Macaca mulatta: one gene and its partner. The protein of the gene in region 1 interacts with the protein of each later gene in a biochemical or structural test. Links are inferred from orthologs where the notes say so. Each region holds a gene or a part of one and is shown in the gene's direction. Other genes may lie near its edges.

The links.
Region 2: the proteins of ARF1 (region 1) and ARFGAP1 form a complex in vitro, tested with the Homo sapiens proteins (2 studies listed by BioGRID, with this or other methods). The link is inferred for Macaca mulatta from reciprocal best matches to the Homo sapiens genes ARF1 and ARFGAP1.

Annotation. Positions count from the first base shown.
Region 1 is NC_133406.1:85,834,079-85,839,701, forward strand, and holds the start of ARF1 (ADP-ribosylation factor 1), read left to right. Parts: upstream 1-1,981; 5' UTR 1,982-2,022; exon of another isoform or gene 2,023-2,107; intron 2,108-2,183; exon of another isoform or gene 2,184-2,702; coding exon of another isoform or gene 2,703-2,764; intron 2,765-5,623. UniProt on the Homo sapiens protein: Small GTPase involved in protein trafficking between different compartments. Modulates vesicle budding and uncoating within the Golgi complex. In its GTP-bound form, triggers the recruitment of coatomer proteins to the Golgi membrane.
Region 2 is NC_133415.1:116,134,339-116,139,262, forward strand, and holds part of ARFGAP1 (ADP-ribosylation factor GTPase-activating protein 1), read left to right. Parts: intron 1-1,258; 5' UTR 1,259-1,262; coding exon 1,263-1,322; intron 1,323-1,772; coding exon 1,773-1,882; intron 1,883-2,161; coding exon 2,162-2,333; intron 2,334-2,873; coding exon 2,874-2,974; intron 2,975-3,862; coding exon 3,863-3,949; intron 3,950-4,526; coding exon 4,527-4,623; intron 4,624-4,924. UniProt on the Homo sapiens protein: GTPase-activating protein (GAP) for the ADP ribosylation factor 1 (ARF1). Involved in membrane trafficking and /or vesicle transport.

The DNA of each region.
Region 1 (5,623 bases):
GTAGAGATGGGGTCTCATCATGTTGCCCAGGCTGGGGAAGGTACATTTCTTAACCCTAGGGCTGTGTATACAGAAATCCATTTTATTACTTTTTAAACTGTGCATGTATCTGACATACACTCTTTCCTGTCTGCATTTTTTCACATTTAAAATAAAATATTTTAAAGGGGCCAGGCACGGGGGCTCACACCTGTAATCCCAGCACTTTGGGAGGCCAAGGCGGGTGGATCACCTGAGATCAGGAGTTCGAGACCAGCCATGGCCAACATGGTGAAACCCTGTCTCCACTAAAAATACAAAAATTAGTTGGGCGTAGGGGCAGGCGCCTGCAATCCCAGCTACTTGGGAGGCTGAGGCAGCAGAATTGCTTGAACCCAGGAGGCGGAGATTGCAGTGAGCCAAGATTGTGTCACTGCACTCCAGTATGGGCGACAGAGCAAGATTCCATCTCAAAAAAAGAAAAAAAAAAATAGAGTATTTTAAAGGAAGGGGAAGCAGGCTCTGGTTCCCACACAATCCCCACTCAGTGACACTGGAGCCACCCCTGGCCATGCTCTGCCATCAGAGAACCAAAGCCAGGTCCCTTCAGCCCTAAAGTGGCCATAACCACATGTATCCCCCATGAAATGTCCGAGCATGGTCCAGTTCTGGCTGAGCGGGAGAGGCAGCACAATCAGAAGGCTCCACAGGCATCCACACCCCTCCCTGGGGCTTTCCAAGAGTATCTGAGATGCCTGTAGGGTGGGAGGGAGACATCCTTCCCCTAAACAGACAACCTGCCGCAGCTTCACAGAGGTGAGATTTCAGAGGGGAGCCCCAGGCAGAAAAAGGGACTGAATTTGGGGGCAGGAGGGTCACCACTTCTGGGGTCCTTCGAAGCCCCCGCAGGTGCAGCCCTGGGGGAGAACTCCGACTATCGCAGCCTGCAGTGGCAGTGAGGATGCCCTGCCCAAGGGGCAAGCAAGGTAGGTGATGGCGGCAGCAAAGGGGCGCAGGAGGCCTGGGCCAGGCCCAGTGACCCCACCCCTCAGGCCCTGCCCCCGGGCCTCCCCCTGGACAAATCAGGTTGATTCCCGACCTCCAGAATACCCAGAGAACTGTGCTGCACGGACGCTCTCCCACAAGCCCAATCCCTCACAGCTGCACAAGGGAAGAGGCAAGAAGACCTGAGGGTGGTGGGCAGAGCCAGGCCTCTGTTCCCTTCTGACCAATCCAGGAGGGCTTCCTGGGAGCGGGGTCTCCTCCGCCTCAACTGGATCTCAGCTGAAAGGCCAGCTCATTAGAGACCGCTGTGACCTCCCTTCTGGGCACCACCCCCACAGCCCCGGCCTCCCCCCGGGGTCCCCAGGCCACCTCCTCCTTTGCTTCATCTGTAGCCAACTCCCCGGCATGAGCCCAGGCATGAGCCCGCGCGAGTCACTGCGGCCGCCGGGGCGCCGAGGCCAGTGCGGGGACATAGCAGGCCTCCCTCCTTCGGACCTTCCGCCGAGGCCCCGCGAGTGCCACAGGTTTCCACAGGGCCGGGGCACACGGACCCGCGCAGCCTGGGAGCCAGGGACCCCAATCCCAGCGAAGGGGCGCCTCGCACCCCAGTCCTCACGCGGTCCCCGAGGGCTCGCGGTGACTGCCGGGTCGGGGAGGAGGAGGGTGGCAACCCGGCCCCGCCGCTCCAGTTGCTGCAGCAGCCCCCCGGGCCTCAGTCTCCGAATCTGCCAAACGGGCGTGTGGCAGCCACAAGGTGTCTTTTCGGAAGACTCACAGGCGCAGGCGCAGACGGGTGCGCACCCCTAAGGCGCGCGCGAGCTAGGACCTCGGCCCGGGGCTGGGTGTCCCCGGCCCCGCCCCCTGCAGCCCTTCTGGAGCCAGCGCGCCTGCGTCGCGGGCGCACGGGGGGCGGAGCTCCCGGCGTCTCCGCCTCTTACCCGACGTTCCCCGCGCCCGCAGGCGCTGACGTGGCCGCCGTCAGAGCCGCCATCTTGTGGGAGCGAAACCAACGCCTGGCTCGAAGCAGCAGCTTCTGAGGTGAGGGCGAGGGGCGCGGGTCGGTGTGGGCCGCACACAAGTTGGAGCCGGCGGGGTCTGGGGACTGGCCTCGGGGCGACTTGAGGTTCGCGAAGGGCACCTCGATCCCGGCGGCGGCGGCGGCGACAGGGCCGGGCCGGGGGCGGACGAGGACGGGCCGGGCTGAGGCTGGGGAGTCGGGGCTGGGAGGGCGGGCGGGTCGGTGAGCTCCTCGCGCCCCTCACAGGTTCCCGGAGTCGCCCGCGGCCCCTTGTCCTCCTCTGCCAGTCCCTGCCCCCGCCCGTCGCCCGGAAGTCAGCCGGGACGCCAGGCTCTTCTCCAGGAAACCTGGGCTTCCTGCTTCCCTCACCTCTGCCCCTCACGTTTCCCGAGGCCGCCCGCGCGTGGAGGGTTGGGGTTAGCGGTCTCGGGGGCCGGTGGGGGTTGTGGGGCCTCCTCCACCCGAGTACAGGCTAGCGAGCGGCATCCGGGCGGACCGCTGCCTCGGGGACCGGGAAACTGAGGCTCAGGCGGCCCCAAGACACCGTCAAGGTCACGTAGGTGGTGGGGGCTTGCACCTTCGCCTCCCGACTCCATCCAGTTCGTGTTTCTTCTGAGGAAGGCACTGGGTCAGGGGCGGTGAGAGCGAGCGGGCGGGCAGTGGACAGGGACCCTGCGCCTTTCCCTGTCTGCTGAACGGAATGCGTGGACCTCCGGGGAAGCCCAGAGTGCCTCCCTTCACAACAGTGAGACGCGATTTGGGGTCAGTATGAAGTCTCCGGTGGCTTCCAGAGGGCCGGTCGATGTTCGCTTTAACTCCAGGGTGGTTTCCTTGACGTTGTCGGCAGTAGATAAGAAGGCCTCTTTTGAGCTGGTGAATCTTTAACTTGCCTGCGGAACGACCTGCTCGTAGACTCTAGGCCGCAGAGGCCGGCCCCAGCGCTCTCTCGGGGCACAGCCTGGGTGGTTACGGCTTGTGAGATTGGGTCTGTACAGCCGTGCGCACCTAGAGTGTTAGATAACCATTCCGACGGCACTTCCTGGCGGACTCCCTTTCCGTCCAGGCAGCCAGTTGCTGCTTTGCAGGAATTGAGCAGAAATGCGCTCGGAATCGCGGGCAGAAAAAGAAGGGAGGTCGGAGTCTTTGGATGGTCCCCGAAGTCGCCGCCTAGTTTAGAGCTGTAGAGTTGGTGCCACTGCCCCTATTGGAGTGGGCAGTTGTATTTCTTGTTTCAGAACTAGTGGTCAGCAGTTTTCTCTGCCGCCGGTTGTTGCAAGGCTGGTGGTTCTGGCGTTTTCCGCAGTGTGTTGGGAGGAGTGTGAGATGCCGAGGTGCGGTTGTGTGCGGCCCCTGTGGCCCTCTGCTTTTGCGTTAGCCATTGTCTAACACGTGTGACTGCATGGATGATGTCCTCATTTAATTTGAATTTTCACCAGCACTACCAAGGTAGCCAGAACCATAAGGTCCTGAAATGCCGTACTATTAGCTGGGTCCAAAATTGAGAAGAATTGAGTAGTATAAATGTTAGTATACACATCTGATTGGCCACATTGTTAGAGGTGTGTTGTCCACGTTTTCACATGTTGGTAGACCGGAGAATATCTGTCACTTGTCTTTAGGTGTATCTTGTTGAAAATAAATCCAAATCATTGCAGCAGTAGGAATATGCTGTTGCCTGTCAGGCAGTTTTTCAGATTTGCTAGTTGAAAAAGATTTGAAACAGTTGGTTTGGACAACAGCTGAGTCACAGAATGACTGTGAGTGAAAAGCAAAAACTGGTTCTGTGCCCCTCACAGTTCTGATTTTGTACATCATGTAGTCTAGCTATGCGCTGTACCTCTTGCACAATATGGAGAGGACATTCAGACATCTTCACCTGCTCATCTGCCCCTACAGACTGGACAGGCTTGAAACTATAGCTTCGAAGATGCATTTGGCCTTTCATTTTTCACTTCAGTAAAATTTAATATGGACTGTCAGCTGCTGCAGTGATCATAGAAGTAGACCTAACTAAGAGAAAAAAACCTGTTGTGCAAGTTCACACGCAAAGTATATGACTGTGGTTTCAGAGAGTTGAAGCAGTTTTTTCTAGATTCTTCAAATTAAATGTCTCATTGGTGTATTTAAACCAGCTCTTACTCACAGGCCATGCTCACCAAGCTTTTGTACACACTTCTTCCTGAGCTGTGACCATTCTCTTGAGCAAGAGGCTGCAGCCAGCCTGGGCTGGCAGGCCCATACTGTCTCTCATAGGCATTCTGTCCTCTCCCCCTGACCTTTCACCTCGGTAAACTCAAGAGGGTGAAAGGAAGTAGAGTGCACTGTCAGAGGTAATTGGGAGAGAAACAGGAAAAGGCCTTGCAGTGGGGATCTTAAATTATGAGAACTTGTGTTTTCTGTGTTGTGCCTGCTCCTCATTGGTGTGGTTGGTTGGTAGGGGTATCCTGCCTGTAGCATCTGAAGTGGTCTTTTGGAAAAGGTTTAGCCCCTTCATGTTGGGATTCCAGGATTTGCCTTCATCCTCAGGTTCGTATTTTCCTGTGGTTGTTATAAACTCTTTAAGGCATAGTTGCACTTATCACCTTACAGCTGTGCAGGTGCCCAGCACCGTCTTGGAAGGTAGTTTCACATTCTCAGGTGGGTCAGATGACCTTGTTAGCAACTTGACAGACATGTCCTGGATGTTTTTTGTTCCCAAGAGGCTCTCAGGTCCTCCCCCAGGGTCCTGTCACTCAACCATCTACAGGGATGAGAAGACAGTAAGGCTGGCTGATTAGCCATAATGTCCTTGACTAATCCTGGTTTCCTGGTTCTCACACAGTGGTAACAAGGGCTTGCAGCCGGTTGTCAGCCAACAGACTGGGAAAGGTGGTGCTTCTTACAGGCCCTGATAACAGGAAAAGCCTAAATGACATCAAGAGAAGAGACAGGGAAAGCATAAAAGGCAGATTTTCACAGGCACAGCAATTGAGAATGATTCTGTTTAGAAGGCAGACGTTCTCCCACACCCCGGAGGCCCAGGGCTCACTGTTAGTGTACAGCATGAAGTGAACGGGAGACTTGATTCAGTCCATGAACATTTCAGGAAGTTAGAAGTCTGTAGTTGTGGATTGCAAAATACATATCTGGCCTGCCTCCCATTTCCTGCCATACAACTACTAAAATACTTGGAATCTCCAAAGTGATGATGTCTTTTTGTACCCTAATGAGTTGACCAGTGACGGGCAGCCCCTACGAAACTTCAGGGTAGGGCTAGTCACGGGGCCAAGGTAGGATTAGAGGGTTTCAGCCCCACCCTCCAATTTCCCCAGAGTGGAGAGGGACTGAAGATTGAGCTGGTCACCAGTAGCCAATAATTTAATCAATCACACTAATATCATGAAGCCACACTTTTGCCTTCAGTAGTTAACAGCATCTACAGCCCCGTGTTTCCACATTTGTACAAAGGAATGTTCAGACTGAACCACACTTAAGTACAATTCTGAAATAGCATGAAATTCCTTGTTGATGGGAAATACCCAAAAGGCCTGCCTGGGCTTTCAGAGAGCTTCCAGAAAGCTGAATTCATGGAGGTTCCTGGAGGGTGGCACGCCCAGGAGGGCAAGGTAGCTCCGTGTCTCT
Region 2 (4,924 bases), on another chromosome or scaffold:
TACCTTGTTTCTGGATACTTAAGATTAGAAATGAAATATAGGACAGAGGGTTTTTTTTTTTAATTTTTAATTTTTTTAAAGCTTCACCTCAACGTAAAGTTCCACCTACAACGTTAGTGGGAAAGCTGGTCGACACGGTCTCCTCCTAAACACAGTGAAGGAGGGGAGGGCTGGTGCTGGGAAGGTCCCATGGCTTACAGAGTTCTGCGTGTTCTCCGTGTAGTGAGAGGTAGAGGGAACAGCACACGGCTGCATTCGTATTGAGAGGTGGGTGAGCCTCAGAAAAACAGTGCACTGAGGCGTGGGCTGGTGGGGATCCAGGTCTGCTGCCTCCAGGCTGGACTGTCTTCTACAGTTTGCTCGGTGCTGCTGTGTGCAGGACCGCTGGGTCATTCTCCTTTGACGCTGGGGTTGGTACCACCCCTTCCTCCTGCTTAGAATCTTAACTATGTCGATTTTCCTGGTCCTGAATCAGATGGGCCATCAGTTGAAGTTGTACTTTGCTAAAGCTAGGAGAGCTACAGAAACATCAATAGGTTTTCTCTTCACCCTAAACCTTGTTGCTACTGTCCCACTAGGGTCCCTGTGAGTCACCGTGGCGGGGCTGATGGTATGAAGCCACTCTCCTTGTCCTGCAGCAGCCACACTGTTGCCCCCATGCCTCAGAATGGCCCCAGAAGGCCCTACCTGCAGGTCCCCCAGCAGGCTGGACTTTCCACACATCCAGGCAGGGTACCGCTTCTGCCCCGACACGGGCAGGAGCCTCCCTGCACTGCGTTGGCGATGTGGTGGGGAGGGTGGAGCGCCGAGTCCCTGGGCTCCCTGTCGTTGGTAGTGATCAGCCCAAGTGTGGTGTGTCGCCTTTTAGGTGGAAAATTGAATTTAGCAGCCAGTCTGTGTGTGTTTTTAAAGACTGCCCCTTGCTGTGAATTTCACCATTAGAAGACAGGACTTTCTATAAATGATGCGGTCTTGGTGGTGGATAACCGTAAGCAAAGTGGCACCAGTAATTACGTGGTCTTCCTGGCCATCGCCCCGGCCACAGCCTGGGAGCCCCCTGGGGATATGGGGAGCAGAGTCCTTCAGTACGTGGTCCTCTCGGCCCCTGCAGCGGGCGGCCCTGTGACCAGGGCTTCCCAGCAGCTCAGCAGATGGCCTCTCAGGTTTTCTGTTGTGTGGGGTTTTGGACAGACGTTATTTTCTTTTTTGTAGAGTAGCCTGTTTGTAAGTTTAAAGTGTTTGTTTTTCTCCTTTGCAGCATCATGGCCAGCCCAAGAACCAGGAAGGTTCTTAAAGAAGTCAGGGTGCAGGATGAGAACAACGTAAGCCTCTGCCCCCCACCCCCGCCCCAAGCCTTGGTCAGGGTCAGCGAGTCTCGGGAGGTTGTGCTCTGAGTCCGTGGTTCTGAGACCCTCCTGGAGTCGATGGTGGTTGGCGTCCTCTGGACGTGTGTGACTTGTGCTGGCTGGTGGCCTGGGTGGCCGGCTCTTAGAGTGGTGCCATTTCTGGCGCTCATCAGTGCTGGCTGTTGGGGGTGGGGGCTCCTCCACATTCCTCAGGCCACATTGCTCTAAGGACAGGTCCGCCTCATCTTCCCATCTGAACATTTTATTACATGGGAGACTCTTTTCCCTCACGCCTTGCCCTGACCCACACCCCCGGCCACCCTGGGCAGCCCTCTGCATTTGCTTCTTGAGGCCACCTGTCGGATCTTTGGGGTCCCTGGGCTCTGCCCTGAGCCACCTGGTGAGTCACTTGTGGCCCCTTTGCAGGTTTGTTTTGAGTGTGGCGCATTCAATCCTCAGTGGGTCAGTGTGACCTATGGCATCTGGATCTGCCTGGAATGTTCGGGGAGACACCGTGGGCTTGGGGTGCACCTCAGGTCAGTGTCCTACCACTCCGGCTCTGCGGAGAGCCTGCGGCCTTCCCAGCGTCTGTTTCTGACACTGGAGGTGCTGACGCCAGGGAAGCTTGGGGGCCATCTCCCATTGAGTTGCCAGTGTCCACTCCAGTGACGCCATGGCACAGGGTTCCGGCTGCTGGCCACTCGGCCTCCCTGCGGCTGCTGCTTGCTGTGTCTAATTCTCAGGACGATGTCGGGTGGAGGGTGTCCCTGGGTGTCCCCGGTGCTGGTTGATTTGCTCAATCCTCTGGTTTCCAGCTTTGTGCGCTCTGTTACTATGGACAAGTGGAAGGACATTGAGCTTGAGAAGATGAAAGCTGGCGGGAATGCTAAGTTCCGAGAGTTCCTGGAGTCTCAGGAGGACTACGATCCCGGCTGGTCCTTGCAGGAGAAGTACAACAGCAGAGCCGCGGCCCTCTTTAGGGATAAGGTAGAGATGGGCCCGACTCACTCTTGCCCCATGGTGCGGGGCTGCTCTGCCTTTAGTGGTTCTGGAGTTGGTTCTTTTGCTGGTTCTGACACACCCACTGGGCCACACATAGTCCGGGACAGAAGGGAATGTCGTGGTCCTTGCTGCCCTGCCCAGAGGGGAGGCACATGGCTTGTGGGAGAGATGGACCTTCCCTGCCTCCAGGGGAGAAAGTAGCTGTGACCGTTTACTGCCTCTGTGACTTGTTGGGCACAGTGTTTCTAAGAAGTTTGGAGGCCAAATGGGTGGGTCCCCCTGCGTTTGAAGTTGGAGTTGCACCAACTAGGAGCTCCCCAGCTCTGTTGTTCATGTAAAGGGAGCCCTGGCCTCGCGTCCACACCTGGTCTGTGCACCTGAGCAGGGGTCGTCGAGCGGGGCCAGGAGGAGGCTACGGGTGGTGGATGCTCCAGGCGGGCCGAGGGGGCTGCGCTAGAGTCAGCGGTGCCCCAGGGTGTCGCCAGGCACCTTTATGCTCTCTGATGCCCCGTGTCTCCTTGTCAGGTGGCCGCTCTGGCCGAAGGTAGAGAGTGGTCTCTGGAGTCATCACCTGCCCAGAACTGGACCCCACCTCAGCCCAGGACCCTGCCGTTCACGGCACACCGGTAGCTGCTCCTCATGGGGCCTCAGTGCAGTTTCCACTGGGCCCTGATCTTAGTCGACTGGGTTACCCCACAGAATTCCCTTCTTTGCTGTTGTGACAGCTCTTTTCCCAGAAGTCAGTGAGAAAAACAGATTTTTTAAATTGCCAAAACAATTCAAGCTTTTTGTAAATTTCAACCCATAAAACTGTCTCAAAGAGTGCCCCAGGTAGGCTCTGCACGCCTTCCAGATGTGCACACAGCCGTGTGCGCCGTGGCGCTGTGGGAATTCACGTCTGCACACAGCTGTGTGCGCCGTGGCGCTGTGGGATTCACGTTTGCACACAGCCGTGTGCGCCGTGGCGCTGTGGGATTCACGACTCCGTCTGCCCACAGAGGTGCTGTCTCCTCTTCCCCAGAGTTGCCCATCTACCTGTGGCACTGGCCCTGCCACCCTTGAACTGACCCCTGTCATGGATGCATCCCACGTCCCACTGCAGGGAACATCCCGGGTGAGGTGACTGGGTAGCACGAGGCCTCCCCACCTCACCTGGAGCCCCGGAGCCCCGCCAGCCAGGTGTTTCTGGCAGAAGGCTTTGCACTTCGGGCAACTCCAGCTTGATTCCAGGCCCTCGGTCCTCTTCCCCCACCTCTCGCCTCTGCCTCCTGCTGACGGGGAGAGTGCAGAGCCCACTGCGGAGGCCTCTCGTGGTGCCCATGAGGCTGGCATTGCTGGGTTTCAGCACCTGAGCCTGAACATCCGCTCAGAGCTGAAGGCCACCCTGGCCTCAGGTGCTCTCGGGTGACGTGAAGGCGCTGCCCACATAGGCCACATGGTTCTGGGGGTGCTGCTGGGGTTCCCTCAGACTTCACCCAGTTTTGACCTCACCAGCCTTTGATTCTTGGTTTCAGAGCCTCTGGCCAGCTGCAGAGTGTGACCGCCTCCTCGGACAAGGCTTTCGAAGACTGGCTGAATGATGACCTCGGCTCCTATCAAGGGTAAGGACTTGAGAGCTGGGGATGCCTGGGGAAGGCCAGACCCACGGGGTTCAGTCTGCTGGGTAGGGCTGCTTCCCTCGGGGCCTCCCGTGTGCAGTGGGTGTGGGACCCGTACGTGCCGGTGCAGGGTCTGACTGCAGTGAGCCCCGGCTGCCCACCCGGGTGTGGATTGGGGGTCTTGGGTGTAGAGAAGAGCTAACACTTAGAAGAAAAGCATAACACATTTTCTGCTTGGAATTTGCTGGACCTATACGTGAATTTTTATCCCCAAAGCTGTCATATTAAGTTGTTTTGATCCTTCTTCCAGTACTTCTATGACTGGGTTTGGGGACTTGCTGGGGACCCTCTCTGGTGATGTGGCAGGAGGGTCTTTTTAAATGAGCAGGAAGCACGTCTGTCTGCTGCTGGGGAGCTGCCAAGGCTCCTGCTGCTACGGGAGGCAGCGTGCATGTCCTGTGCTGGGGGACGCTGGCACATCCCTCAGAGCCTCAGCCTCACCTCTGTTCAGGGCCCCACACCTTCAGGAGGAGCAGGGTTCACGCCAGCATCTTCAGCCTCTTGTCCGCTTTGTTTTCAGAGCTCAGGGGAATCGCTACGTGGGGTTTGGGAACACGCCACCGCCTCAGAAGAAAGAAGATGACTTCCTCAACAACGCCATGTCCTCCCTGTACTCGGTGAGGACTTGTGGGCCCTGCAGAGCATCTCCCATGGGCAGACCCGGACTGAGGGCACGCCGGGCCGTCGGGGGCAGTGTGGCAGTCCTGGAACACGTGCTCTTGGCCTTGCTGTGATCTAAGGACCCCTCCCTTACCTTCAGTGACGTTTTCTTGCAAAAATGTGGCTTAAATTTTTCAGATCCCAAATTCAGTCACTTCTTTTTTTTTAAAAGACGGAGTCTTGCTTTGTTGCCCAGGCTGCAGACTGGAGTGCAGTGGCGCATTCTGGCTCACTGCAACCTCTGCCTCCCAGGTTCAA